Callithrix jacchus: one gene and its partners. The protein of the gene in region 6 purifies or fractionates together with the protein of the main gene of each other region. This does not show direct contact. Links are inferred from orthologs where the notes say so. Each region holds a gene or a part of one and is shown on either strand. Other genes may lie near its edges.

Region 1 (4,158 bases), on a different chromosome or scaffold from region 6:
TTAGTAGAGACAGTGTTTCTCCATGTTAGCCAGGCTGGTCTCGAACTCCTGGCTGCAAGCGATCCACCTGCCTTGGCCTCCCAAAATGCTGGGACTATAGGCATGAGTCACTGCGCCTAGTCAAGAATCGAGATTTTTAAACTAAGAATCCATTGAAACAAAAACAGACAATAGAATCAGCTCTACAGATAAGTAAGATACTGGGCTTAGAAGATAGGCAACCTAAAATAACTATGATTAATATATGCAAGAGAGGAAAAGATGAAGGAAATAAATTAAAAGATAAAGAAGTTCTTTAAACTATTAGCTTCACTGGAAAAGAATACAATATAAATCCTAAAATTGAAAAGGACGATGTTAAAGCATTAATAAATGAGTTTGTACATTGGACATAGAACAAAATAGAATTAGTAAAGAGAGGTTATTAGAAACTATCCAAAATACAACGTGGATAAGAATGAGAACTATGGAACAGAATTAAAAGACAGAAAAAATATCAGGGAAAAAATTCCAAAGGAGTAGGAAGAGACAGAAAAAAATAAAGCAATATCTAAGGAGATACTAGCCAAGAATTTTCCAAAACTGAAAAGATACCAAGCTATAGATTTAGAAAAGCCTAAATGGGATAGGTTTAAAAACACACACACAAAAAACCCCACAACACTCAGCCATATTATATTAAAATAGCTTTAAGGAGTACAGAGAGAAGGAAGAGAAAGATAAAACAGTAAACAGCAAAGAAAAAGACACATTACTTTCAATGAAATTTACAGGTGACTTCTCAGTAGAAGATAATGCAAGCCAGAAGACAATAGAACGCTATTTTTGAAATGCTTTGTAAAAACAAAGAAACAACAACAACAAAAACCCCAAACTGCTGAACTGGTATTCAGTACTCAGTAAACACATCCTTTATAAATTAAGGTGAAACAAAATCTCTCTTTCTCCTGGCTCAGCCTCCAGAGTAGCTGAGATTACAGACGTGCTCTACCGCGCTTGGCATCACCATTTTCCCAAGAGTGGAAAGACATTTTTAAACAAACAAATATCTAGAAAAAAATTCACCTGTGCTTGCCCTACAGTAAACAAACAGGAAAACTGAAGTGAGTTCTTCAGACTAAAGAAAAATGATCCCAAAGAGAAACATGGAAATCCAGGAAGAAAAGAGCAAGACTGAAAAGAGTACGTTTGTGAATGTATATACAAATAACTGTTGACTGCATAAAACAATAATATATATTTTTTAAAAAGGTAAAAAGAAAAAAACTTCCCTGGGATCCTGGAGTTAGGTTTACCTTTCCCGGTCTCTCTCGCGCGAGATCTGGAAACCGGAAGTGAGTTATTTTGCAGGAGTCTACGACAGTTGGCAGCTCTACTTATTAAAGTTGGCGGGAGCTGAGCGGTCAGTCGGGCCTGGGCTGGCTGTGGTGTAGAGCTTGAAGGCAGCGCTCCCCTCCTCTGGCCGGCAGAATGCGGGTGGCTGTGGCCGGCTGCTGCCACGGTGAGCTGGATAAGATCTATGAGACGCTGGCGCTGGCGGAGCAGCGCGGTCCGGGGCCTGTCGACCTCTTGCTGTGCTGCGGCGACTTCCAGGCGGTGCGCAACGAGGCGGATCTACGCTGCATGGCAGTGCCGCCCAAGTACCGCCACATGCAAACCTTCTACAGGTGAGGACGCGGCCCGGGCCGGGACTAGGCTATGCGGGGTGGGACTGTGTTCGATTTCCCTCTTATCACTGGCTGCCTGTTTCCCTTAGATCCTGTCTTTGTTCGCTCTGTGTTTCTAGGACCTGGCGCTTAGGAAATGTCACTTTCCTTCTTTCCATACAACCATCTTATCCATTTCACAGGGGATTGAAGCCTGGGAGGGAACAACCTGGAGGAAGGAGCTGACAGGTTTAGAAGCTACCTTGTACTTGATAGGACTCTGGAATTCATTTAATGATCCAGGAGTTTTTACTGGGCGCCTGCTAAGTGCTTGTTGCGGTTCTAAAAGATGAGGTTATGGCAATGAACTCAATACAGTTCTTGACTTAATTGAAAGTACACTGACCTGAAGCCCAAGGTGGAAGCTCTTCATTCCTAAGGGCAAGGATGGGTACTGGGCACTTCCTTTTGAAAGAGCTTTTTAACTTTTTATGATGACGTCAGTTTTTGGTTTTGTTTTTCGGAAATTATTTGCTTTTCTGCTATGCCTACTTGTGGTAACTGATTTTGCTCTTACGTTCTAGGTATTATTCTGGAGAGAAGAAGGCCCCAGTTCTCACACTTTTCATTGGGGGAAACCATGAAGCCTCAAATCATTTACAAGAGTTACCCTATGGTGGATGGGTAGCACCAAACATTTATTATTTAGGTATGTGTTTGTGGATAATTTTTTTTCCTGGGATGGAAGAGCCTATCAGGATTTGCGTTAGTTGGGTTGTTTCTTGAGATGTATGGTGTTTGGAGAATATCATTAATTTAAATAGTTAATCCTGAAAATGTAAACTATTTAATTATTAAATAGGTGAGCATGAAACCACACCCTTCATCTAGTGTTTTAACCACTAGCTAATATAATTGCAAAGACCTCGCGCACTATTTGTAGTCGCTTCTTTTTTTATCACAGTTTTTATTGAATTAAAAAGAAGACCAGCTCGGCGAGGTGGCTCAACCGTGTAATCCCAGTACTTTGGGAGGCCAGGGCGGGCTGATCACGAGGTCAGGAGTTGGAGACCATCCTGGCCAACGTGGTGAAACCCCATCTCTACTAAAAATACAGAAAATTAGCTGGGCATGGTGGTGTGTAGGGCCTGTAGTCCTAGCTCCTCTGGAAGCTGAGGCAGGAGAATTGCTTGAATCCGGGAGGCAGAGGTTGCAGTGAGCCGAGATCATGCCATTGCACTCCATCCTGATGACAGAGTGAGACTCTGTCTCAAAAAAACAAAAACCAAAAACCAAAAACCTTTTATCCTTTGGATTTCCTATAATCTGCTTTTAGATTGACAGATTTGATTAGATTGTCTCAATATTAGCCCCTATAAACTATATGGCCTTTTCATCTCTTTATTTTTTATTTTTTGAGACAAGGTCTGGTTCTGCTGCCCAGGTTGGAGTGCAGTGGTATGATCTCAGCTCATTGCAACCTCTGCCTTCCAGGCTCAAGCCATCCTCCCACCACAGCCTCCCAAGTAGCTATGGCTACAGACGTGTACCACCATGCCCAGCCAATTTTTTTGTTTTTTGTACTTTTTTTGTGGAGATGGAGTTTGACCATGTTGTCCATGGTCTTGAACTCATAAGCTCAAAGTGATCAGACCATCTGGGCCTCCAAAGTGGTGGGATTACAGGCATGAGCCACCGCACCCAGCCCCATCCCTTTATTTAAATATATATTCTTTCTAGAACTGTTTATAGATTTTGACGAGATCGTAATTTCAGAAATTTAGTTTCCCTACTTTACTACTTATTGATCATCTTTTAATGTATTCATCCTATATTATAATGTGAAAAAGTGAAATTGTCAGAATGTGATCATTCAGAAATGATATTAGAAAGCTGCAGCTTCTTTTTTATTTTTATTTTTTTGAGACGGAGTTTCGCTGTTGTTACCCAGACTGGAGTGCAATGGCACGATCTTGGCTCACTGCAACCTCCGCCTTCTGAGTTCAAGCAATGCTCCTGCCTCAGCCTCCCGAGTAGCTGGGATTACACGCGCATACCACCATGCCCAGCTAATTTTTGTATCTTTAGTAGAGACGGGGTTTCACCTTGTTGACCAGGATGGTCTTGATCTCTTGACCTCGTGATCCACCTGCCTCGGCCTCCCAAAGTGCTGGGATTATAGGCGTGAGCCACCGCGCCTGGCCTTCTTTTTTCTTTTTTTTTTTTTTTAATTTTTTTCTTTTTTTAAAGACGAAGCTGCAGCTTCTTTATACCTTATGCCTGTTGATTTTCAGGTTTATAACATATAAATCCATCATGGGACATTTCCCTCCTCTCACTACCTCACTCTTGTATTCAGTTAGGTACAAAGTTATGTCTGTTTCACGTTCAGCACACTATCTCATTTGTCCCTTCCAGAATCTGCTTAGTCTTTTGGCTAATCTAATTCCAGACATCTCCTTTATATTTTGTTATATCACTAATATACTGCTGGCATATTATTATATAAAAA
Region 2 (3,987 bases), on a different chromosome or scaffold from region 6:
CAGGCATGGTGGCACGTGCCTGTAGTCTCGGCCACTTGGAAGCTGAGGCAGAAGGGTCGTTTGAGTCCAGGCGTTGCAGGCTGCCGTGAGCTATGATTGTGCCAATGCACTCTGCCTGGGCCACAGTGAGACTGCATCGCTACAAAAAATAAAACCAAACCCTCTAAAACTTTCATGATTCTTGGTTTAAAGACAAACGTAATCTGGGCTACGTTCATCATTACAATATTCGCTTTTTTTCTTAAGATGTTCATGAGCCCCTGGCACTGTGCCTACTGAACAAGTTGGTCTGCCCATGCTGCCTGTGTCTCTCTGACTGCCTGGGAGACCCCGAGTAAGTCACTGCACCTCTCTGGCCTGTACATCTTCTGCACAACACAGCTGAGGGTCCACATGACGCCATGCTTCACCTAAGATGAGCAAACAGGGCTGTGACCACCCTCCTCCAGGAACGCGGAGGTCCTCGTTAGTGGACCTCAGCCACACCTCCTCCCCATCCTCAGTTTCACAGTTGGGTTCCCACAGCCCATCCTCTGACCACCCAGCCCTGGAACTGACCCCTAGACCCTGTCCCTGTCTACCAGCCCCTCTCCTTCCCTTGGCCCACCCTTGACCTCTCTCTTGTCACTGTCCCTCTTAGATGAAACCTCCCTGGGCCACAGCCCATTGGTGCCCACAGGTCCTTCAGGGCCTGCACTCCACAGCCCCCAGATCTCGCTCTTTACTTGCTCAGAGTCCTGTCCCCACCAACCCCAGTCCAAAGCAGCAGGGACCTTTCCAGGTCTTGGGCTCCCCACCACCATCCACGCTTGCCTGCCCCACAGCCCACCCTGTTCTCCAAAGGGTCCCTGCAGGGGGCCTGGCCTCTCCAGAAAGGTGTCTGATGGGGACCTCTATAGGGTGCCCAGGGCCCATGTGCACATGGTCATGGAGCTACCTGGGTACCTCTCCCTGGAAGGAGAGCCCTAGGGAGCACTCAGCCCATCCCAGTGCTCCTCAGGTTGCTGAGGGAGGCAGCACACCTATCCCCACCTAGCACACAGGTTCCTGAATGTTGGCCCTGGCTGGGGAGGCAGTTCAGCCCAGACAGAGGAGCGTGCCCTGGGGCGTTGACAGGATGGGCGCTGGCCAGCTGGACTGCATGGGTGCTAGCAGGAGCCACTTGGCTGAGAATGTTAAGGTCAGGCGGCAGCCGTCCTGCCTGGCGCACCTGGGGGTGACATGGAGTTGACACGTGGGAAATACCTGGTGCCACTCAGTTATCCAGCCCCAGATGCCAACCGGCCTGGGAGAAGCTGTCCCAACATTTCTTTGTTGAGGCACTGTCCTCATGGTTGACATGTGGGGCTGGTTAGGGCACACTGTCTTGATTGTGCCAGGAGCAGATCAAGGCCGACCACATGGGGGTGAGGGGCAGGCCTGTCTGGCTGGGTGGGGGCGCCCACTCACCACTGCCAGCCTGGCTGTAGAGGCAGTGTCTGATCACACAGGGCTTGAGGGAACAGCCCTGCTGATCTTGAGGGGCACTTCCTGCTGCTGGGGGGGCAGCACTCTAGAAAGGACCCCCACTGTCCCTTTGGATTTCACAGGGTAGGGGAGTCAACAGTGTCCAGGCTGTGTGTAATGTGGGCAGGGACTGTCAGGACTGTGGAAGCCCCTGTGGCCAAAAGCCCTCCAGCAGACACCAGCGTCCACACAGAGTGATGCCAATGGCTTCCTCCAACGACTTCATTCCCCGTGTTGTCCCCTTTCATGGGTCCGTGTCTCCCCAGCTATGGACGGGGCCGCAGCCACTCCCGAGCCTGAGATGGAGCACTCCAGTGGCCTGCATGCCTACACATTTGTGTAGCAACGCCTGCCCAAGGGAGGGAGGGCACGGAACCCACCCATGGCCAATGACTCAGCACGAATCCACTCTTCTGCTGACCCCGATCTGTGACTTGAGGTCAGGGCTCTCAGCTGGACTTTAAGGACCCCATCCTCTCCACCCTGGCCGTAAGTGGGGTATCTGGAAGGAGGACCCCATGGAAGGATCCAGAGTTCCTACACCAAGTGGGGTGAGCCTGTGCCGTTCCAACGGGCACAGGAGGGCGTGGAGGCTCTAGGAGGCGGAAAGGTGGGGTGGGGAGGACGGAGCTCACAGACCGGAAGTCGCTCAGTGATAGTTTGCGGGGTGGGCACCCCAGCGCCCAACGTGGTCAGCGCACCCTACGCGTTCGCAACTGCGGCGGCTGGGGGCCCCATCCGCCCACCCCACCCCAGGAACGTGGGCACGAGAGGCAGCACTCCCGTCGCTCGTCCTGCTCTCCACGCGGGGATCCAGGCCGCACTCTGGCTACCCCACTCCACGGCGGCCGTCCCCAGGGACGGGTCCAGCCCGTGCCCAGCACCCAGACTCCAACTAGGCCGCGAGGGCGGGACCAGGCGGCCGGGCAGGCTGGACCCGGCCCCGGGCCCCTTCCTATCGGCTCTTCGCGGGCCGGCGTCGTGCGAGGGCGCTCGCGTCCAAATCCGCGCAGCGGCGCCCCCTGTCCGAGCCGCCCCCCGCCGCCCCGCGCACGCGGCCGCGCCCCAGCTCCAACGCCCCTCTCTGGATCGCGCGGCCCCGGCCCAGGTGCTGGCGCGAGGGCGGCCCAGGTGGGACCGCACCGAGGGGCGCCCGCCCCCACCTCGCCCCGCCCCTCCGGGCCGGGGGAGGGGGCCCTACCTGGCCAGGTGCGCGGGGTCTCGGCACAGGGGCAGCAGGAGCCGACCGCCGCCCAGCGGCCTCGCGGTCCGGTCGGTCCGGCAGCCACTCCCTGCGCGGCCCGCCCGCCGGCCCGGCCTGATTCACGCGCCCGCCCCCGCCCCGCCCGGCGCTCCTGCCTCCTGCCTGCCCGGGCAGCACCTGGGGGCGGGGCGGCCCCACCCGCGGCGCGCCCGCATTCCTGCGCCCCGGCCCGCGCCCCGACCGTCCGCCCCGACCCGCCCGCACCCTGCGGGGACCCCGGCCCAGCGCCGCCGGAGGCCGTGAGGCCCTCACTTCAAAGACCCCGGCCCCGGGGAGCCCAGCTGTTGACCCCAGGCTCAAAGTCCTAGGCTGACCCCTGACCCTCGCCCCGGAAGTCGGGGTGACGCGGAAGTTCCGGCTCGGTAGCTAGGAAACGAGCCAGCCCGACGCCAGGGGCGGAGCTCTGGCCTCCTGGCCAAGTTGGGGAGGCAGGTAAGGCAGGTGAGTACGCTGCGGCGGCGCCGAGCGCCGGGTGGGGCCGGGTCTGGGAGCCCCGAGAGCGCAGGGGATCCCTTCACCACACACCGGTCTCCTTCCGCACTGGCGCCCAGACGTAGAGGGGACGACCCCACCCACACAGAGGACCCCCAGGCCCCGGCTCCCCCACACACACTGATGCCCACAGCACCTGGGGTGCCCTATTGTTCTTCCTCATCCCCGTACACCGACGCCCACCCGTGTAGGGGACACTGCACACACTGACCCCCTGCACAGACGAACCCCAAATGACCTGTCCCTCATCCTTCATGTACACCGACCCCCCATGCACACGCGGGCCTGGAATGACCCGTTCCTCATGTACACCAACCGCACAAGCACAGAAGAATCCTCAGGAAGGCAGAACCCACAAGCACACTCAGTCTTGCACACCAGTCACCCAGGAACACGCTGACGTCTGCGCACGTGGAGAACCCCACCTGCAATTGGGATCCCTCAGACACTGACCCAGGGGATCAGGCAAACAGGGGATGCCATATTCACACTGACTCTGAGAGCACAGGGGACCTCTCTCACACATATGGAACCCTGGGTGTACACACGGGGACCCTACAAAAACCAAGTCCCACACAGACAAGGGACCCAGCGTGCACATCAAGCCCCACATGCCAGGTGCCCCTCCCCCGCCATGTACACAGCAACCCCCACACATCACCCCAAGCTGCCCCTGGTGCTCCAGTCCCCCCAGGTTCCCCTCAGGCCCTCGCTTAGGGCCCCTC
Region 3 (3,936 bases), on a different chromosome or scaffold from region 6:
TCTCTTTCAGGTACAGCACTTCCTCCTGTGACCCACTTTCCTCTTGTGCTATGGACGACTCCTGGGGACTGGAACTGAAGGTGATGGGTAGAAGGGTGTCTGATCTTCTGGTAAGGGCTGATGTCTTTTACCGTCCAGAAGGCATGGAGTGGGCTGTGGCAAGACCCCTCCTGCTTGTTTCCAGCCCCCCACCTTTCTCTTCAGCTCTGTCCACCATCCACAATTGTGCCAGACCACCTGGGATGCCGACGGCCACCACTACCCCGGTTTCCCTTGCCCTCTTCTCTGATTCTCCAGAGGAAGCCTACTGCTGCCACCTGAAGGCTGAATTTGAGGTCCTGTACCAAGTCAACTTGTCCGTTCTTCCGCCCCCACCCATCCATCCTTAGGTGAGATCTCCAGCCCCGGAGCCCCTGGAACATCGACAAGGTGTCTCAGTATCTGGGGTTCTGTTCTTAAACTATGGGGTGGGAGGCTTGTAAATTAGAGTTGTGAAGGGACAGACCGCAGCAGAAAATCATGTAGATCATGATCACGATTACAAAGGCGGCTGTAATCGTAATCACGATCAGGGGGCTGTGCAAGCGGGTAATGGGGAGCCATCCTGAATCTACCCATGGGTGGCTTCAGTGTGTGTCTCTAAATTCGTACGCAAATGTGTGCATGTCAGACTACGCTTATTTGGGGAGGGGGTTCCGAGCGTTCTCCGGACTCCCAGGGGTTCTCTACCCCCACAGAACGCAGCAGCGAGAGCGCGGCCAGGGCTGGGATCCTGAGACTTTTCTCTCTCCCGCAGGGGCCGGGGCCCGCTCCTAGCGCTAGGCGTCTACACTCTGCTGCTTGTGACCCTGATGGCCGCAGACCTCGTGCACTTCTGCTGTGGTCGGGGCCGGGGTCGGGGCTAGAACCACTGCAGGCCTCCCTTTGGGTCCTCTGCCGAGAGCTCCCTGCAGGTCTCCGCTGGGACAGCTTAGGGGTGCGCGGAGTTTGCTGGCACCTGTCATCCGGGGCGGAGCGTTCCGCCCCTGCCCGGGCGCGCCCACCCCTTAGCCCCTCCTCTCACTGACCCCGCCTCCGACGCAAGAGTGGGCGGGGCAGCTTCCGGCCGAGTCCCGAGCCCAGACCCGACCCGCCCCAGAGACTGCGCCTGCGCGGGCACTGGACTACCTCTCCGCGATGACTGTGAGTGGTCCAGAGACCCCCGAGCCCTGGCCGGCTACCCCCAGAGTGCGTACCCAACCCCCGCGCCATCACCCCTTCGCAACCGCGCTGACTGTCCCGGCCTCCTCCTCCCCATCCACGAGGCGCCCCTGAATCCCTCCTCTCCTCTCCTCTTAGCTCTTGGGCCCTGCCCCGAGCCCCCTCCGACGTGGCCGCCCCTTTCTCCCTACAGGCCAACTCAGTGGCAGTGGAGCAGCTGCGGAAAGAGGGCAACGAGCTGTTCAAATGTGGAGACTACGAGGGCGCCCTGGCGGCCTACACTCAGGCCCTGGGTCTGGACGCGACGCCCCAGGACCAGGCCATTCTGCACCGGAACCGGGCCGCCTGCCACCTCAAGCTGGTGAGGGAGCCGGGTGCCCTTCCCCTCCAACTTCCCCACCCTCCCGGGACCCGGTTTGGGCATCTGAGCTGTTGCTTGGGCCCCAGCTGGACATTCACGCTTCCAGGCCACCCCGCTTGCTAGATGTGGAATGCACCTCAGGGTCGTGGGGGATTGGGTGACCTTGGAGAATGAGAGTACCCCACTGCCCGGTTAGTACCCCCTAGAGGGAGGTGACCATTCATTCGGCTCCTATCTCCCCCCCTCCCCACTCGGCTTCTGTCTTTCTCTTACAGGAAGATTACGACAAAGCAGAAACAGAGGCGTCCAAAGGTAGGGAATGGTGGGCCCTCGAGTAGCACTATAGGGCTTCTGGAGGTTGAGGATTGTGGGACCATCACATTCCCCTCCTTTTGCCCCGGAGACACATCTGCCTTCTTTCTTTCCCACTGCCTCGGGCTTTGCCTTTTCTGCAGCTACCCTTACTTTTTCTGAGGCTGAAGCACCGAGCCCCATATTCGTCCCCCACCTTCCTCTGGCTTTTCCTCGAGATCTGTCCCTACTGCTCTTGCCTGACGACGGTGGCCTCATGGGTGCTGACAGCGCTCCTGTTTGTGCTCAGCCATTGAAAAGGATGGTGGGGATGTCAAGGCACTCTACCGGCGGAGCCAAGCCCTAGAGAAGCTGGGCCGCCTAGACCAGGCTGTCCTTGACCTGAAGAGATGTGTGAGCTTGGAACCCAAGAACAAAGTTTTCCAGGAGGCCTTGCGGAACATCGGGGGCCAGATTCAAGAGAAGGTATGTGAGTGACCCAGACAGGTGGAAGCACTGATCAGTGGTGAAGGGATCTGGGCCAGGGGTATAGACAGTTCTCCAGAGAAGAGATACTGATGGCAGGTGAACATAGAGAGTTCTGCTCAACCTTGCCTGTGGCCAGGGAAAAGCAAATTCAGATGACAGCACATTACTGCTGATTTGGTGGTCTGTTTGGCAGATATTTAAAAGAAGGGACACTTTTTTTTTTTTTTTGAGGCGGAGTTTCGCTCTTGTTACCCAGGCTGGAGTGCAATGGTGCGATCTCAGCTCACCGCAACCTCCGCCTCCTGGGTTCAGGCAATTCTTCTGCCTCAGCCTCCCAAGTAGCTGGGATTACAGGCACACACCACCATGCCCAGCTAATTTTTGTATTTTTAGTAGAGACGGGGTTTCACCTTGTTGACCAGGAAGGTCTCGATCTCTTGACCTCGTGATCCACCCGCCTCGGCCTCCCAAAGTGCTGGGATTATAGGCATGAGCCACCGCGCCTGGCCTGAAAGGACACTTTTTGAGGGGAGAGGCAGACATGTCAACGGTGAGGCCGGGGGCCAAGGGCTCTCTGATGACTGCTGGAGGGGTATAAATTGGTACAGCTCTTTTGGAGAGTACTTTAGCATATCTATTACATTTGAAACGAGTGTATCTTGTGATCCCATATGTTTACTTCTTGCTGTTTCGTTTTTTAAATTTATTTTTATTTTTTTTAAAGACAATGTTGGTCAGGCTGGTCTTGAACTCCTGACCTCAGGTGATCCGCCCGCCTTGGCCTCTGAAGTGCTTGGATTACAGGCGTAAGCCACCACACCTGGCCTACTTCTTGCTGTTTCTCTCAGAGAAACCTTGCCCATGGGTACAAGGAGACATGTGTATGTTTATTTCAGCCCTTTTTGTAGTAAGAAAAGCTTGGAACTTGCCTGAATGCCCAGCCATAGGGAAATGGCTGAATACACTGAGTAATTGAATTGAATTCAATTCAATTGAAGTGGAAAGCTCTGGGACACTTGTTGAATGAACAACACAAAATAGGCAGGGCATGGTGGCTCATGCATATAATCCCAGTGCTTTGGGAGGCCAAGGTGTGATGATCACTTGAGATCAGTAGTTTGAGACCAGCCTGGGCAACATAGTGAGACCCTGTTGTTATAAAAACTTTAGTTAGCTGGGTGTGACATACCCTTATAGTCCCAGCTACTTGTGAGGCTGAGGCAGGAGAATCCCTTGAGCCCTGGATTTTGCAGGTCAGTGAGCTATGATGGTACCACTGCACTCCAGCCTGGCTGAAAGAGTGAGGCGCTGTGTCTTTCCGAGAAGAAAAGAAGAAAAATATATAATAGCACACATAGTATAATATCATTTATGTTAATGATCCCTTACGTAGCAAAACAATGCTATATTTTTTCTGTGGGGACACTGGGTGTGTAAATAAAAAACAATATTTTATTTTTTTAGATTTATTTGTATTTAAGTATTTTGAGGCAGGCTCTCCCTCTGTCACCCAGACTGGAGTGCAACCTCCTCCTCCCAGGCTCAAGTGATCCTCCTATCTCAGCCTTCCAAGTAGCTAGGACAAATGCATGTCA
Region 4 (3,500 bases), on a different chromosome or scaffold from region 6:
CAGAAGTTAAGGTCATTACTTAGCCTCACCCCAGATAAGAAAGAAAATCTATCCAAAAATAAAGCGCCTGCCTTTTATAGATTGTGTAGTAGCTCTGACACGTTAGTTTCTGAGGGTGAAGAAAATCAAAAACCAAAGAAATCAGATACAAAAGTTGATTCATCTCCTAGAAGAAAGCATTCTTCCTCATCCAACTCTCAAGGCAGCATCCACAAAAGTAAGGAAGATGTCACAGTTAGCCCATCTCAAGGGATAAATGCTCCATCAGATGAAAATAAAAGAACACCTTCTCCAGGCCCAGTTGAAAGCAAGTTCTTGGAAAGGGCAGGACATGCCTCTGCCCCAAGATTTAACACTGAACAGATCCAATACCGAGATTCAAGAGAGATTAATGCTGTTGTTACTCATGAGAGAAGACCAACTTCTTCTCCAAGGCCAACACCCAATGAACTTCTACGAACTCATTCAACTGACCGGCGTGTTTACAGTCGTTTTGAGCCATTTTGTAAGATTGAGAGCTCTATTCAACCAGCAAGCAACATGCCAAATACTAGTATACATCGCCCAGAAATGAAATCTGCGACTATGGGCAACAGTTATGGCAGGTCTAGTCCAATGCTTAATTACAACACTGGCGTTTATCACTCATATCAACCGAATGAGAACAAGTTTCGAGGATTTATGCAAAAGTTTGGAAACTTTATACACAAAAATAAATAGCTATTAAAATGCAAAATGAATGAGGCTATAAATATTTGTCCAAAGAAAATTGTGGACAGTCTTTGTAACATGCCAATAGATTTCCCTAAGAACAGAATGATGGGTATGATGTATATGTTCACCAGTGTACCATATAAAGTTATTTTTCTGTGTGATAAAGTTATGGTCTGCTGTAGATAGAATATCTCTGTAAACACATAATTTGTAAGTGGTAATGGTAAAAATATCAGATATATTTAAATCATTTTCTTTAGACTGAAGATCTTAAGTCTCACTTAGAGACTTTTGTGGATGATGTATGGTATATGGATTTTAACCATTTCCTTTTAAAAAGGTCATACTACCCTCAGTAATCCTTTATAACATGTCTTTATAGTGTTTTCATATCTTCAAAAATATAAGCAAATGGGACTAAGGCTTTTTTAAAATTAACTTTAAATTCTCTAGGATAACTTGTTATAGTTTGTTAGTATTAATTTTTCTGTGGAACATTGTACAGATATTTGGGCAACAGCAGTTCCATTTGAACTTTTTTTTTCAAATTTTGCCTGAAGTGTTTGCAAAATATCATCCTCATGTAGTGTAATGACATTCATAGAAATTTATTTTCCTAAGCCTTTGAAACTGTCTGGGATGTGCTTCTTTCTTCTCTGGATGCAGGGAGCTGTACTCCTGCCATCCTTAGGCTGCTGATTTTTTTATAGTCATTCCTTACTTCACATTATGGGTTAAATCCATATACCTACTGATAACAAATCAGTAGGAATTTAGAAAACCTGAATGATTACCCCTCCTTTCTTTATTCTATAAAAGCTTTTAGAAATGTAAAATTCTGCCTTTAATTTTTTAGATTGCCGTGACAATGCTAAGGGGTCTTGCTTTTGAAAATTCTTGATTTTTTTTTTTTTTTTGAAATGGAATCTCACTGTATTGCCCAGGCTGGAGTGCACTAGCATGATCTCAGCTCACTGCAACCTCTGCCTCTTGGGTTCAATCAATTCTCCTGCCTCAGCTTTCTGAGTAACTGGCATTACAGGCAGGCGTGGTGTCACCACACCCAGCTAATTTTGTATTTTTAGTAGAGACGGGGTTTCACCATGTTGGTCAGATGGTCTCAAACTCTCACCTTCATGATCTGCCCGCCTCAGCCTCCCAGAGTGCTGGGATCACATGTCTTGCTCTTCTTTAAGTTGTGCCACTTACAATATGACTGCATAGTGTTTTCATAAGAATATAATTGGGAAAATGAGAAGTTGTACTAGCCTAGTTCTGCCATGATTTAAGGATGATTTCAGATTATAAGATACCCTTTTTCTTACCGTAACGAAGTGTAAGCTCCATATCTGTTCCAGAGACTTTAACTTGACTTTGCTTCATTCGCAAAGAACAGAATTCAAGAAGCAATATATCCTGTGAGAAGTGTGAAGTGTTTTTACATCACTTTAAATATATTACTTAATATATTCTAAGTTGCTGTGTGAAGCAGTATACTGTTGTTTTAAAAATGCAAGATTGATACAAATTTTAATATGTCTCATTGAAATAATTAAAATAATGGCATTAAAATATCTATGTAATTAAAGTAATTTTCCATAGTGTTTGGAAACCATGAAAAAAAAGAGAAGAAAATATGACAGGAAAAGAAAGCCTAACAGAGCCCAGAACCCACAGTTAACCAAACTAGACTGACTTTGTTATTACCCATTCTCTGTTAATATTGGATGGGGATTTAGGATAATGAGCCATTAGTCAGTTCTGAAATGGAAGGCTCTGAAATTTAGTGCAATGTAACTTTAAAACTGAAATTATATAAAGACTAGAAGTGTAATCATGTTTGATTACAACCAAAAACCTGTTGCCTTTTTGTGCAGAAATTTTCTTAATTTCAGGAAATATAGATAGCTTATGGAAACATCCTTCTAAATAGTTCCTGAGCTCTTCCTCATAAGTGTATTTGAAGAGTACAGAATGCTTTATTTCATCAACCCATGACAGGTAACTTAGGCTTTTGCATAGCAGATTTATTTTTCTCTGCCTTTTAAAAAAATTGTTTTTCTTGTTTTTTTTTTTCAAAAATACCTATATTTCAGAATATGTACATAACTTACCAAAGGCTCTGTGGCCAAGAAACTTTCCAGGGATAAGACTAAGCAAAAATATAATACTTCAAAAAATTTATAGCTACTGTTTAAGTTTTAAACAGACACCATCACAGTTTGTGGATGAAATAGTTTTAAGCCATATACTTTCTGTCTTAAGCCACATGCTTTCTCCCCATATTAACATTAGGGGACTGATAATGTCACTTTGACGTACTTTGATATTAAAGTTTGGTAGTTTTACTCTCTACATAGTTCTGTACATTGGTTTGTAAGCAGAAACACAAGGCAAATGGGTAAAATTTCAAAGTAGTTCTTGGCAGACAGCTAGAGAATAGTGTAAGTGACTTGTATCCCGAATACGCCGCTTTACCTCTGTTAAAAGTTTGGGAATAACCATAATTCTGACATGGTGTTGAGGTATGGGTATATGTTGTCAGTCTACACTTGTGGAAGCAAATACCTTTTTTACTCAAGATGTCTAGTGTCATCTAGATAAATAATGCCAAAAATTTAATTCTGGCTGAATTCAGCTTTACTCAAGATCCACCTGTTCAACTGTCATTCCACAAATATTTCTGTGTTCTGTGAATATCTGTTGATTTCTTAGTGTGCCTGTGGCTAAGGGATGCAAAGTAGAATTGTCCTTTTACATTGACTATAGGTGTGACATGTACGATG
Region 5 (3,500 bases), on a different chromosome or scaffold from region 6:
CCTGAAGATAGCTAGAATCTAGATAGGCAAAGGAGAGAAGTTTTTCTCTAGTGCAAGTAAATAGCATGGGCAAAAGCTTGGAGAAGAAAAAAATGTATAATATATTTGGGAGACTTTGAAGAAGCTAGCAGTATTGAAGGTTTGTACTGGTGAGCATTTGGTAGATAAGTGAGGGCCATACATAGAAATTTAAATACCAGAAGAAAAAAAAAGTTTTGGCTTTACCCTTTGGAGAATAGAAAGCTATTCAAAGCATTGGAATATTAAAGTGATATTAAGAAAGTATGTTATAGCATTTATCACTTACAGATAATAAAATTAGTCATTCCCTCCACAAAATAAAAAATGTCATAGTTCTGTGTAAAGTCAACTCAAAATGATCATATCTCTCTTCTTGAATATGTTCTTTCTCATTTTCTCATCCTCTACTTCAGGTTTGGTAACAAAGAGGAATACATGGCATTCATGAATGATTTTTTAGAACATGAATGGGGTGGAATGAAGCGCTTTCTTCTGGAGATCTCTAATCCAGACACCATCTCAAACACCCCAGGCTTTGATGGTTACATTGATCTGGGCCGAGAGCTTTCAGTTTTGCATTCCTTACTGTGGGAAGTAGTTTCCCAACTTGATAAGGTAAAGTAGGTTCATGGAAGATAGAGAACTTGCATGTACCTGAATTCTGGAAGAGTACCTATAGAGCAATAGCACTCACTCTTTCTAATTGAAAGCAACCTTTTACCTTGGAAATCTGAGAGGAAATGTTCATCACTTCTGAGTAAAATATGGGATCTACATCCATGAAATTCTAGAAAACCATGACATTATTAATATATTTTTTTAATAATATCTGAATTAATGGGGTATGTTTCTCTAAATTTATATATACAGAGTGCATATCTGAAAACTTGACTAGAAACTAATATATTGTTATATACAGCCTTATGCATGTCTAATAGGATGAGATGAAACTTCATATGGTAATTTCTAACAAAAGTGTAGACTTAGCTAAGAAAATACTAGGTTTATCATGTTTAAGTTACTTTACCCATGAAACAAATTTTTTTACTCTACAAGTCAGAGAGTTTCATGTAATTCTTAGTGCTAAAAGTTACTGTTTTCTTCCTTTACAGATGTGAATTAAGAATACAGAAAACAATTATTTTTAATCATTTGTTTGCTAAGAATTTTATTATATACCATACTAATAAGTAAATGTACATCATGCCAATCATTGTCTTCCTTCTGGAATTTTACAAAAAGGAATAAATTTGGTAGTAAAAAAATAGTCTAATGGAGTTTGGCTAGGCTGATTACAATAATTATTTATTGATGTTTTTGTTTGCTACAGGCACTTTATAAATATGTATGGTGTTATGTTACAGTAACTTCAAAAGACAGTTATTTTTCTGTGATAAGGATTTATTTGTTTTCCTCCACTTTCCTGTTGATAAAAATGCTATACCAGTAAAATTTGGAGGGAAATAAAACCTATTAACAAAGACTACTTTGCTGAGGAAACATAAATGGTAGTGTGTCCTCCAGTGCTTAAAACATTTGTAAAACAATAAACTGTTACTTATTCTTGAGGACCTTTTCTTCACTTTTAGAAATGCTAGCTAGATTTTTAAGTTGCAGCTATGCCAAAGGTAAATCCTTTTCATGTGAATCATAGCCCAACATTGTTGAGCAAGTAAAGGTATTCTTCAGATGGCATCTGTGCCTGTTTGAGTAGGGTAGAAGAGTCTGTTGATTGTTGAGAAGACAAAGACCCAAAGGCAACTATGTCAAACTAACAGTTGAAGGGACCCGTAAGGCCCCATGAGAATAAGAATTCCCTAAAGAAAAAAATAATTGAGATGGATAAAGAGTTAGTCTTTGTTGAATAACTGCATCTCAGTGGGATGCAGATTCAGTTATCATGTGAAATAGGCCTGGTTTATTCAGTATCAAGATCTTTTTAACAGGCTTTGCTGTGAAAACACTTTCTCCTTTTTAATCCTGGTTTGTTCCTGGGAACCAGGAATATATCTAGACATATCTCATAGAGAAAGTTGACCTGATTTTGCTGTTAAATTACACCAAAAATTGTCTTAACTGATGGAAACTCAGTTGGCAGTGGGTCAGGGTTTCCAAGATTGACTATGATAGTGGATGGCAGTATCATTTGTGTGCCCTGCAGTACTCTGGATTCCTGAATGCAGCACCTTGTATGTTGGCATGCATTTCTTTTCTCACATGATCCCTTTTCTTTGAAAGTTTTATCATACTAGCTGATCCTGTGGTCTTGAAGTTCTTTTGGTTAGAAGGAGTTTGGTTCTTCCCTTACCCTCCCCCACCTTGATTTACTAGACTCCCAAAGATTTAGTTTGCTTTGCATGCCTATTTTAGTTGGAATGGCATTAGTTTGCTAGTTTTGAGCATGTCTTTTAATTTTTATTTGCATAATCCTGATTTCGATTTCCTTTCTTTCCTCAATGTCTGCTGTACCTTGTTTCGCCTCCATTCATCTCGACGCCATGGTTCTGCTGCTCCATAACAATGCATTATGAACCTGCCACTCCCATATGCAAACACCTACCCTTCCCTCCAACCTACACCCCTCCATCAATGGCCATCGTTATGCCAAAAACAATCTGTGGTGGATGTCGCAATGCTTATTATCCAATTAGGGTGAAAATTCCTTCCTACAGGCGACCGTGGCAAAACTGGGGCCTCTCCCTCGTGTTCTTGCTGATATTACCAAGTCATTGACTAATCCAACACCAATACAACAGCAACTGAGACGCTTCACTGAGCATAACTCCAGTCCCAATGTCAGTGGAAGCCTCTCCTCCGGGCTGCAGAAAATATTTGAAGACCCCACTGACAGGTATGAAAGAGAGGATTTGACTAGTATCTCAGAGAAAGATAATGTTTAGATTTAACAGAAGTATATTTAACCTATGTGTTGAATTTACAAGTTTAAAATCATGAGTAATTGAAGACTCATCTGACCTGAGAGCAAGCAGTCCAATTATTTGTTATAATAATGCACAAGATCTGGGATAACTTCTTTTCTAGAGTGATAGTATGGAGAGTTACAATATATTCCACAGTATATTTTTTAAATTTCTATCTTGCTTAACGGAAAACTAAAGGTTTTATGAAATTGATGTTTCTATACATTTTAGCATTCAAAATCTTGAAGAACTCAGTTAAAACTATTTTGTAGCTGACTATGTGAGCCGGACAGGTAGACACAATGTATGCTTAGAATGTTTTCTGGATTGGTAAGACTTGTGCCTTTAGCAGGGACCTTTCAGTTGTGCAATCAGAACTTCTCCTCTTGAAGGTTTAGACAAGTATGAATTGGAATATTTGAGGAAGGTTTCAAATTTAACTAGGAAATTACTGGAATCCTGAAGACAGTGGTGGGTTGGTATCTACAATGTTACTCTCTACCCTCGGAGAAAAAGTAAAAATGCTGGATTTTATTCTGAGAATTGTAATAATTCCCT
Region 6 (3,500 bases):
GTCTTATGCAAGAAGCTACTATTTAAGGTGATTTTTAAAAGTTCATGTGTTACCTCTAAACAAAACTTTTCTCATGGAATCCAAAATCAGACAAACAACTGTCTTACAATTTAATTTTATTTATTTCTTTTTTTCACTCTTCACACACACAAAAAAAACCTTAAAGATAACAATTTAATTTTAAAAGAACAAAAAGGATTTAGCTAAACAATTCTCTAGAGAAATGAGCTTAATGAATCAAGCAGGGCAACATTTCTAAATTTTGCAGAAACTCATCAAGATAACTTAGGAGGCTGGGCTCAGTGGCTCACGCCTGTAATCCCAGCACTTTGGGAGGCTGAGGCGGGTAGATCACCAGAGGTCAGAAATTCAAAACCAGCCTGACCAACATGGAGAAACCCCATCTCTACTAAAAAAAAATATGAAACTAGCCGGGCATGGTAGCAAATGTCTGTAATCCCAGCTACTCGGGAGACTGAGGCAGGAGAATCGCTTGAACCTGGGAGGTGGAGGCTGTGGTGAGCCAAGGTCTCGCCATACCCCTCAACCCTGGGCAACAAGAGCAAAACTCCATCTCAAAAAAAAAAAAAAAAAAGTGCTGAAAAGGAGTTTACAACTTAAAACTAATGGAATATCTGAACATCTATATCAATGTATTCACACATACATATCTATACATACAAATATACAGATAGATAGGTTTAAGGATAGGTAATTCTTTGGCATATAGGACAAATGACATTACAGTTTAACCTAGGATATTCAGATATTCATGGGTATCTTAAGCTTGAAATCATTTGTATGAGGTTCTTAAACCTGGACGCATACCATTGTTTTTTCCAATTACTTCTATGTTTGTTTTAATGAATGAAAAGTGAGTAGAAAAGATGAACTTGAAACTCTAGAACTCATATGAAGAAACAGAAAGAGAGCAGAGACTGAAATTTTCTTACTTTAAACTAGATCCTATTAATTGACATATTTGAGTGAAGTATAACAGGAGATTAACATTAACCCCCTTTTGGTTTGTTAGGACACTAATAACATATTTTCAGCTGCAAAAAGAAATTTCAACATTGCACTTAGGCTTCTAACTTTCAATCAAGCAGTATTTTCCCCTCAAGAAACAACCTGCAACAACAACAACAAAAAACTAAAATACCTCATTTAACTGGCTTCTCAACGCTGGCTAAAGCAGCAGGTAAAATGATTAATAAGCATCCTTCAAATCCTCAGCCAAGAAACATTCTTAGACATTGTAAGGAACTAATTAAAATATTTCAAGAACCCCTTGACGGCTTCTGCTATGGCTATGATAAGCACATTCCATTTTCTAACTTACCTTTGCTCAATACCAAGATGTGCATTGATGCTAGCATATCGGGCAGTGCCAGTGAGGTTTTTATCTTCTCTGTATGGTATGTGTTGCCTTGTCCTGTTGTCTCTGTACTTTTTGGCCAAACCAAAATCAATAAGGAATAACTTTAAAAGAGAAATACAGAAACATTAGGTTTCCAACCTTGTTCAATTAAACTGCTTCTTATTCATTAAATGGAATCTATACTATGCATTCAAATATATCAAAATAAAGTATCCCAAGTATTACTAGAACAGATAATGAACAGACTTAACACCTCCCATAAGCTTTTACTAGTCTTCATCATTAAATCAAATTTTTAAAAAGTCTAGTAGTTTATTCTCGTCGTTTGCAAATCTCACAGGCCCATTTCATTACATACACAGGAGCCTGTCTTTATAAAGTAAGTAGAGAAATGTATACAAGACTGACAGCAGAAGTGACAAGTGTGCTACTTGTCATAATGACACCTGATAGTCTGTTACTATCGGTAAACAAACATCAGGTTTCAAAATCTAGATATAAGGGCCAAGAGCGATAGCTCATGCCTATAATCCCAGCACTTTGGAAGGCTGAGGCGGGAGGATCACTTGAGGTCAGGAGTTCAAGACCATCCTGGCCAACATGGCAAAATCCCATCTCTACTAAAATTACAGAAATAGCCAGGGGTGGTGGCAGGCACCTGTAGTCCTAATTACTCAGGAGGCTGAGGTAGGAGAATTGCTTGAACCCAGGAAGCAGAGGTTACAGTAAGCCAAGACTGCACCATTGCACTCCAGCCTGGGAGACAGAGCAAAAACTCCATCTCAAAACAAAATAAAACAAAAAAAACAGATATATGCTATCTCAACTCCTCCCTCCTACAAAGGCCAACAGAATGCTTGTTATCTACCCTAAAAGTCTAATACTGGCAGCGAAACAAAGCCTTTTTATTAATAAAAAATACTACTTAGCACTGACACAATACACGTGTTAGGCTAAACTTCTGGAAAATTTAACAAGCTGATATAAAAATCCCCCCAAAAAGCACTTAACATTTAAATCAGGGTGGCTTACAATTAGTAGTTTAAGTGAGCTAACTAAAAACAAAACTAGTGTTTAAAACAAAATAACGTTTAGTGTTATCTTGTCTATATGGTACTCGAGGAATAAGTTATTCATTTGGTTTTTTTTTCTTTTTTGCAGCAGAGAAACCTGAATAAAGGGTATTCATTTATAATGTAGCTAATTGTTCTATATAATTCAACTTTACACTCTAGAATTTAAGCCTTTTATAAGTAAATAACTATTTTTATGAGAGGGAAAAAAAACCCTCCAAAACATATTCATTTTACCTATCATATGAAGAGAAATAATCTTTCCTTAAGATTTTGGCCTTGGTCATAAAATCACCTATTATGCTATATTTTAATAATAGTTAATCTACAATTATTATTAAGCTGGGCAGGTCTATGTTCCCTTAAACTATATAGACCTAGTCTATTGTTCTCTAGTTATTCCTGCATTTTGTAGTTCTTCTCTCCATTAGGCTATTGGGTCCCTTTTGCCAGTTTATAATTTGTGATGTGCAGGGAAACACAATCACCTAACCTGCAGATTTCATGTCAATAAATAAATAAATAAATAAAGCAAGTTACTGATTTAGGTTATAAAGATCTGACCAAGTACCTCTCTTAGGAGCATGAGTAACATCTATTTCAGCCAAGCATTATAACCTATTCTCAATTATACTCTGAACAATAAGACACTGACATTTGAGCTTCAGTCACCATGTCGACGAGATACTTATTTTTACTTAGTTCACTATAAAAGAATGAAGACTAAATTATTAGTAAATGTTACTAGATGATGAAAACTCTCCAAGTAATAAGATTAAACTCCCTTCCTAAGCAATCAAATAATTATAGGAAAATTAGTGTTGTAAAACACTAAGAAATAAAGTTCATACTTTAAAAGTTTCTCTTGATATGAAAACCAGCTCAATACACAAATATTAAAATGAGCAAAATACATTTATTAAGCAAAACAAAAATGATGATTAAGTTCTGCAGATTCATAGTGAAAACAAAACATGGGGAAAATAAACACAAAAGGACATTCAGCTTCATGGTATTTTAAAAATATCTCTGAGGAATATGTAGAC
Region 7 (4,101 bases), on a different chromosome or scaffold from region 6:
GAGTCGACGTCTGACTTATTGATTCCCAGTGTTGGGATCCGAGCAACCCACTGTGGCAGCCTAAATAGCAGCGGTAAGACTGATGGTGCTCTTCTGCCCGGGAATCTCTGGTCTGGCTTCCCTCTTGAGTCCGCAACAAGCGGCTCTGACTTCCCGGAGCTCCAAACTCCAGTCAGTAGGGGAAGCAGTCCCGTTGGCTCTGCATGAAGAGCTGCGGCACCGAGACGCCGGCAAAACCGCTGCGGCGGCCACAAGAGTCGCGCTGGCGACCCGTGGGGCTCCTCCACTGGGAATCAGCTGATCAGTGAGTGACGAAAATTTGTCTAAAAGTGTGGCGTCGTCTCATTCTCTGGGCTTTCACTGGGAGCTACAATCCTGAGCTGTTAGTGGTCGGCCATCTTGGATCGATCCTCGGACCTCAAGCTTTATTCCTCGGCTGCTGCTATGACAGCAGAACTGGGCATTCGAGTGAGTGGCTCGAAGCAGCCATGACTCTTTCGGCAATGTGTTTTTATTACCAAATGAGAGAATCAATGTGATTATTTTTTTCCTAAAACCATGGGTTTAACCTTATGAGATTCTACTCATGGTAGATTCGGGATGTCCTAATCCCACCTGCTGTTTAACAGGGGAATCTTATCAGAATCTAAATTTCACTGGTTTATACTTAAATGTTTTCCTTGTAGACATTTTCTTAAAATTATTCTGCAGCTCTCCTCCTAGACTAAGAACTTTCTTTTTTTCTGAGATGGAGTCTTGCTCTGTTGCCAGGCTGGAGTGCAGTGGCATGATCTCGGCTCACTGCAACCTCTGCCTCCTGGGTTCAAGCGATTCTCCTGCCTCAGCCTCCTGGGTAGCTGGGGCTACAGGCGTGTGCCACCATGCTCGGCTAGTTTTTTGAATAGTAGTAGAGACAGGGTTTCACCCAGAATGGTCTCCATCTCCTGACCTTGTGATCCACTTGCCTCACCCTCCCGACATGCTGGGATTACAGGTGTGAGACAGTGCGCCCAGCCCAACTAAGAACCTTTTAAATAGCAAACACTATCACTTACCTACAAAGGAGCATTCTAACCCTCATGCTCCCTAAATGAGAGCTTTTTAGCAACTCGCCAATTTCATTTGGAACAGTCTTGTGACCTGAACTGATTTTTATCTTTTTCTCTACTCACCAGGAGAAAGCAATGCCACTGCCTATCACCTATGTCACCACTACAAGGGAGCTAGCTTATTTAAGTCATCTAAGTCTTTCACTGTTTCAAAGAGGCCACCTGACCTTGAAGATGCAGTATTCATAAACCTAGCTAGTCAGTTAAATTGCCTTGTAACCATATGCACACCTAAGCAAAACTCTTTTCAGTAGAGTTCTGGCTACAGAACTGAGGTAAACACGCGCACACCCTTCTTCACTGTCACTGGCCTCACATTTTAGGTAAAGAAAACAAAGGTGTTCCAGGAAGCCTCTGAGCTTACATGCTGCCCAGTCTCCCTCACGGTGGCAGCTAGTGACTCCCTGTCAGACAATGGGATGCTTAACACAAAGACATGATAAACTCCAACTCTTCTAAGTTAGAATCGCAACCACATAAAGTTGGGTGTTGAAGACGAAGCCAGCGGCAGAGGCAGCCAGCAGCCTAGTACTGCTGAAAATGACCAAGACCCAAAAGGACACCCCGGTATTCATCAAGGATATTTACAGAAGAGGAAATCATATTGACATTTACCCACTACCATGGCCTCTCAGGTTTGGCAGAAAAAAGAAAGAAAGAAAGAAAATGTACCCACTGCCTCAAAGAAAACTTTCAGTACAATTCTGAGACTCACTGTAGTAACCACTATTAACAGTAAACGAGGAACAGGGAACAAGAAAGAAACGTTACTTTGCCTCTTTTCTGCCAGATACCAGCACCGGAACCCTAAGAAAGGAGACGGGGAAAAATGCAGGGAGGCTGCCTTGTGCTGAAACTTGCAAAAGTATCACTCGGGAAGAACTGTCTGCGGTTCTGTTTGCTTCGTACTGCCACATGGGGGATGGGAAATACCTCTTTGGTTAACATCGGCATCATACACGTAAAACGCAATCTTAATATACAATCCACACCCAACCTACAAGCCACTTAAAAGTGTTCTTAAGTGAAGCAGCAAAAACTGACTTTAAATCGCTCCGATGTTTCTGAAGCCTCTACTGTAACACTTCCATGACAAAGGGGCGAGACGGATCACACACACTCCTCTAACCCTCGGCCTCTGTTGCAACACCCGGATCGCCCTATCAAGAAATTACAAATAAACAACTCTGCTCCTTGGTTCAAATGTAAATCTCTCTTCACCAGCACCGCTAAGGAAACCTTCCAGCCGGTGAGGACAAGACACGTTCATTTGAAAAGCTGGGGTTTTACGAGGGGTGCCTGGGGTAAGCCTCCCGCCGGGGGTACAGGCGTCACCGCGGCCCAGCCGGGTCCACGTGAGTCCCTTCAGTCCCACGGCGCGCCTTGCCGCGCCCGGCCTCCCGCTCCAGCCTGCGGACCCCGGCGTCAGTCTCCTCGCCCGGCTCCGACGGGACCCGAGCTGCGCCGCCCGCTAGGGGCTGGGCCTCGCCGCCTCCCCTCCGCCGCGCCCCGGCCTCCACTGCCTGGCTCCTCTGGCCGGCCTCCGCCTTCCTCGTCCCGCGCTCGCCCCCTCACCCGCGCGGCAGAGATCGGCTGCTCAGGAGCCGCGCGTGAAAGCCCACCCGGCGCTGATGACGAGCGCAGACACGGAAACTGCCGCAGCCATCTTGGCACATCCGGCTCCGGTCTCCGCGGCCGCCGCGCCGCCGACGTGTCCGTCTTGCGACATCAGCGCGCGCCCCGCCCCTGTCCCCGCCCCTCGGCTCGGCGGCCCAGTTGCATTCTCATTCATCCCTTTACGGCCCAGGCCTCGTCCCCGGCCCTCGCCGGCGTCCGTCCCCTTCAGCCTCATCTCTGTCCCGCCGCCCTTATCCCCGCCCTCGCCGGCGTCCCTTCTTCCCCGCCTCATTCTTTCGTCCCGTCCCCCGCCCGTCTTTCCGCGCCGTCTCCTGTAGTTCCCTCCCCTTTGGCCCCGCCCCTCGGCCGTCCCTCCCGGCCCGTGGCCCCGCCCCCCGCCGGCGTCCATCCACCGCCTCACCGCTTGGCCCCGCCCCTCGCCACCTGCCCAGCCGGACGCGCCGGGGCCGCCCCGGGACGTCGCCTTGGTTACGCTGGCTCTTTCTCCCAGTCTTTTTTCGTTTTAAGATGTGAGAAGTGATGGGATTCTTCACTCAAGGCCACAAGGGGGAAATCAGTCTGCAGGACCGATGCTAGCAGGCTCACGCAGCGAGAACGGCTACTCTGCCTCACTGAGAAGCGCAGGGCCCTCACGCGGGCGCGCTCCTCTCATTCTTCCGTTGGGCCGGGAGGCTGGAGGGCAGGAGGCGGCGGCGGCGCCGGCGCATGCGCCGAGGGCGGTAGGAGCTGCGGGCCGCCGAGGGCCTACTGCGCCTGCGCGCTGGTTGCCTGGCTACGGCGCGATCGCGGGCCCTGAGCGGCGCCGGAAGTTGGTCGACGGCGACCGGCAGTGCCAGTCCAGGGTCCTGGGGTTTCCCCGACGCATCCTCTGCAGGCCGTTCGCTCCGCAGAGGCCCCAGCAGGGGAGGGCGGCCCGGCCACCGCGCGGAGCCGGGTCTTCGCCGACCCCCCAGAAGGACGCGCGGGCTCCACGTCCCCGAGCTCGGCCACGAGCCTGTGCCGCGCCGGGTCCTCCCACGCCCACCCCGGCCCCGGCCCCGGCCCCGCAGTCCTGCCGGGGAGGCGCGGTTTTCTGGCTTCGTCTCCTCGGCCTCCAGCCCCACGGGGCCCTAGGGTCCCAGCCCTGGCCTAGTGCACGTTGGTGGTGAGTGGGCGCTCGGGCGCCCACAGCGACCCAGCGGCGGGCGAGGCGTATGGGTGCTCCTGCCCCTGCGACGGCCAGGCCAGGCAGCATCCGTGCCCCCGCCCCCCGCGGAAGATCGCAGGGAACTGGTGGGCGCTGTCATCTGTGCCCTCATTTTCCGGAGGAACCCAGGGAGGCCGGGCGGGTGAGGAAGCGGCCATCCGTGTACCG

Evidence for each region.
Region 1: the proteins of CSNK1A1 (region 6) and DBR1 purify together in Homo sapiens (affinity purification with mass spectrometry; 3 studies listed by BioGRID and IntAct, with this or other methods). This does not show direct contact. The link is inferred for Callithrix jacchus from reciprocal best matches to the Homo sapiens genes CSNK1A1 and DBR1.
Region 2: the proteins of CSNK1A1 (region 6) and FAM83H purify together in Homo sapiens (affinity purification with mass spectrometry; 9 studies listed by BioGRID and IntAct, counting the BioPlex papers as one, with this or other methods). This does not show direct contact. The link is inferred for Callithrix jacchus from reciprocal best matches to the Homo sapiens genes CSNK1A1 and FAM83H.
Region 3: the proteins of CSNK1A1 (region 6) and UNC45A purify together in Homo sapiens (affinity purification with mass spectrometry; 4 studies listed by BioGRID and IntAct, with this or other methods). This does not show direct contact. The link is inferred for Callithrix jacchus from reciprocal best matches to the Homo sapiens genes CSNK1A1 and UNC45A.
Region 4: the proteins of CSNK1A1 (region 6) and FAM83B purify together in Homo sapiens (affinity purification with mass spectrometry; 5 studies listed by BioGRID and IntAct, with this or other methods). This does not show direct contact. The link is inferred for Callithrix jacchus from reciprocal best matches to the Homo sapiens genes CSNK1A1 and FAM83B.
Region 5: the proteins of CSNK1A1 (region 6) and RASAL2 purify together in Homo sapiens (affinity purification with mass spectrometry; 4 studies listed by BioGRID and IntAct, counting the BioPlex papers as one, with this or other methods). This does not show direct contact. The link is inferred for Callithrix jacchus from reciprocal best matches to the Homo sapiens genes CSNK1A1 and RASAL2.
Region 7: the proteins of CSNK1A1 (region 6) and SEC16A purify together in Homo sapiens (affinity purification with mass spectrometry; 5 studies listed by BioGRID and IntAct, with this or other methods). This does not show direct contact. The link is inferred for Callithrix jacchus from reciprocal best matches to the Homo sapiens genes CSNK1A1 and SEC16A.

The regions. Positions count from the first base shown.
Region 1 is NC_133518.1:46,156,841-46,160,998, forward strand, and holds the start of DBR1 (lariat debranching enzyme), read left to right. Parts: upstream 1-1,358; 5' UTR 1,359-1,470; coding exon 1,471-1,667; intron 1,668-2,230; coding exon 2,231-2,355; intron 2,356-4,158. UniProt on the Homo sapiens protein: Cleaves the 2'-5' phosphodiester linkage at the branch point of excised lariat intron RNA and converts them into linear molecules that can be subsequently degraded, thereby facilitating ribonucleotide turnover.
Region 2 is NC_133517.1:53,882,094-53,886,080, reverse strand, and holds the start of FAM83H (protein FAM83H), read right to left. Parts: upstream 2,801-3,987; 5' UTR 2,708-2,800; intron 411-2,707; 5' UTR 349-410; intron 155-348; exon of another isoform or gene 20-154; intron 1-19. UniProt on the Homo sapiens protein: May play a major role in the structural organization and calcification of developing enamel. May play a role in keratin cytoskeleton disassembly by recruiting CSNK1A1 to keratin filaments. Thereby, it may regulate epithelial cell migration.
Region 3 is NC_133507.1:19,500,919-19,504,854, reverse strand, and holds the start of UNC45A (protein unc-45 homolog A), read left to right. Parts: upstream 1-1,136; 5' UTR 1,137-1,176; coding exon 1,177-1,227; intron 1,228-1,393; coding exon 1,394-1,561; intron 1,562-1,836; coding exon 1,837-1,873; intron 1,874-2,162; coding exon 2,163-2,338; intron 2,339-3,936.
Region 4 is NC_133505.1:63,231,472-63,234,971, forward strand, and holds part of FAM83B (protein FAM83B), read left to right. Parts: coding exon 1-720; 3' UTR 721-3,500. UniProt on the Homo sapiens protein: Probable proto-oncogene that functions in the epidermal growth factor receptor/EGFR signaling pathway. Activates both the EGFR itself and downstream RAS/MAPK and PI3K/AKT/TOR signaling cascades.
Region 5 is NC_133519.1:24,788,158-24,791,657, reverse strand, and holds part of RASAL2 (ras GTPase-activating protein nGAP), read left to right. Parts: intron 1-434; coding exon 435-636; intron 637-2,672; coding exon 2,673-2,872; intron 2,873-3,500. UniProt on the Homo sapiens protein: Inhibitory regulator of the Ras-cyclic AMP pathway.
Region 6 is NC_133503.1:48,201,020-48,204,519, forward strand, and holds part of CSNK1A1 (casein kinase I), read right to left. Parts: intron 1,483-3,500; coding exon 1,343-1,482; intron 1-1,342.
Region 7 is NC_133502.1:184,951,685-184,955,785, forward strand, and holds the start of SEC16A (protein transport protein Sec16A), read right to left. Parts: upstream 2,801-4,101; 5' UTR 2,786-2,800; coding exon 2,732-2,785; exon of another isoform or gene 2,685-2,731; intron 1-2,684. UniProt on the Homo sapiens protein: Acts as a molecular scaffold that plays a key role in the organization of the endoplasmic reticulum exit sites (ERES), also known as transitional endoplasmic reticulum (tER).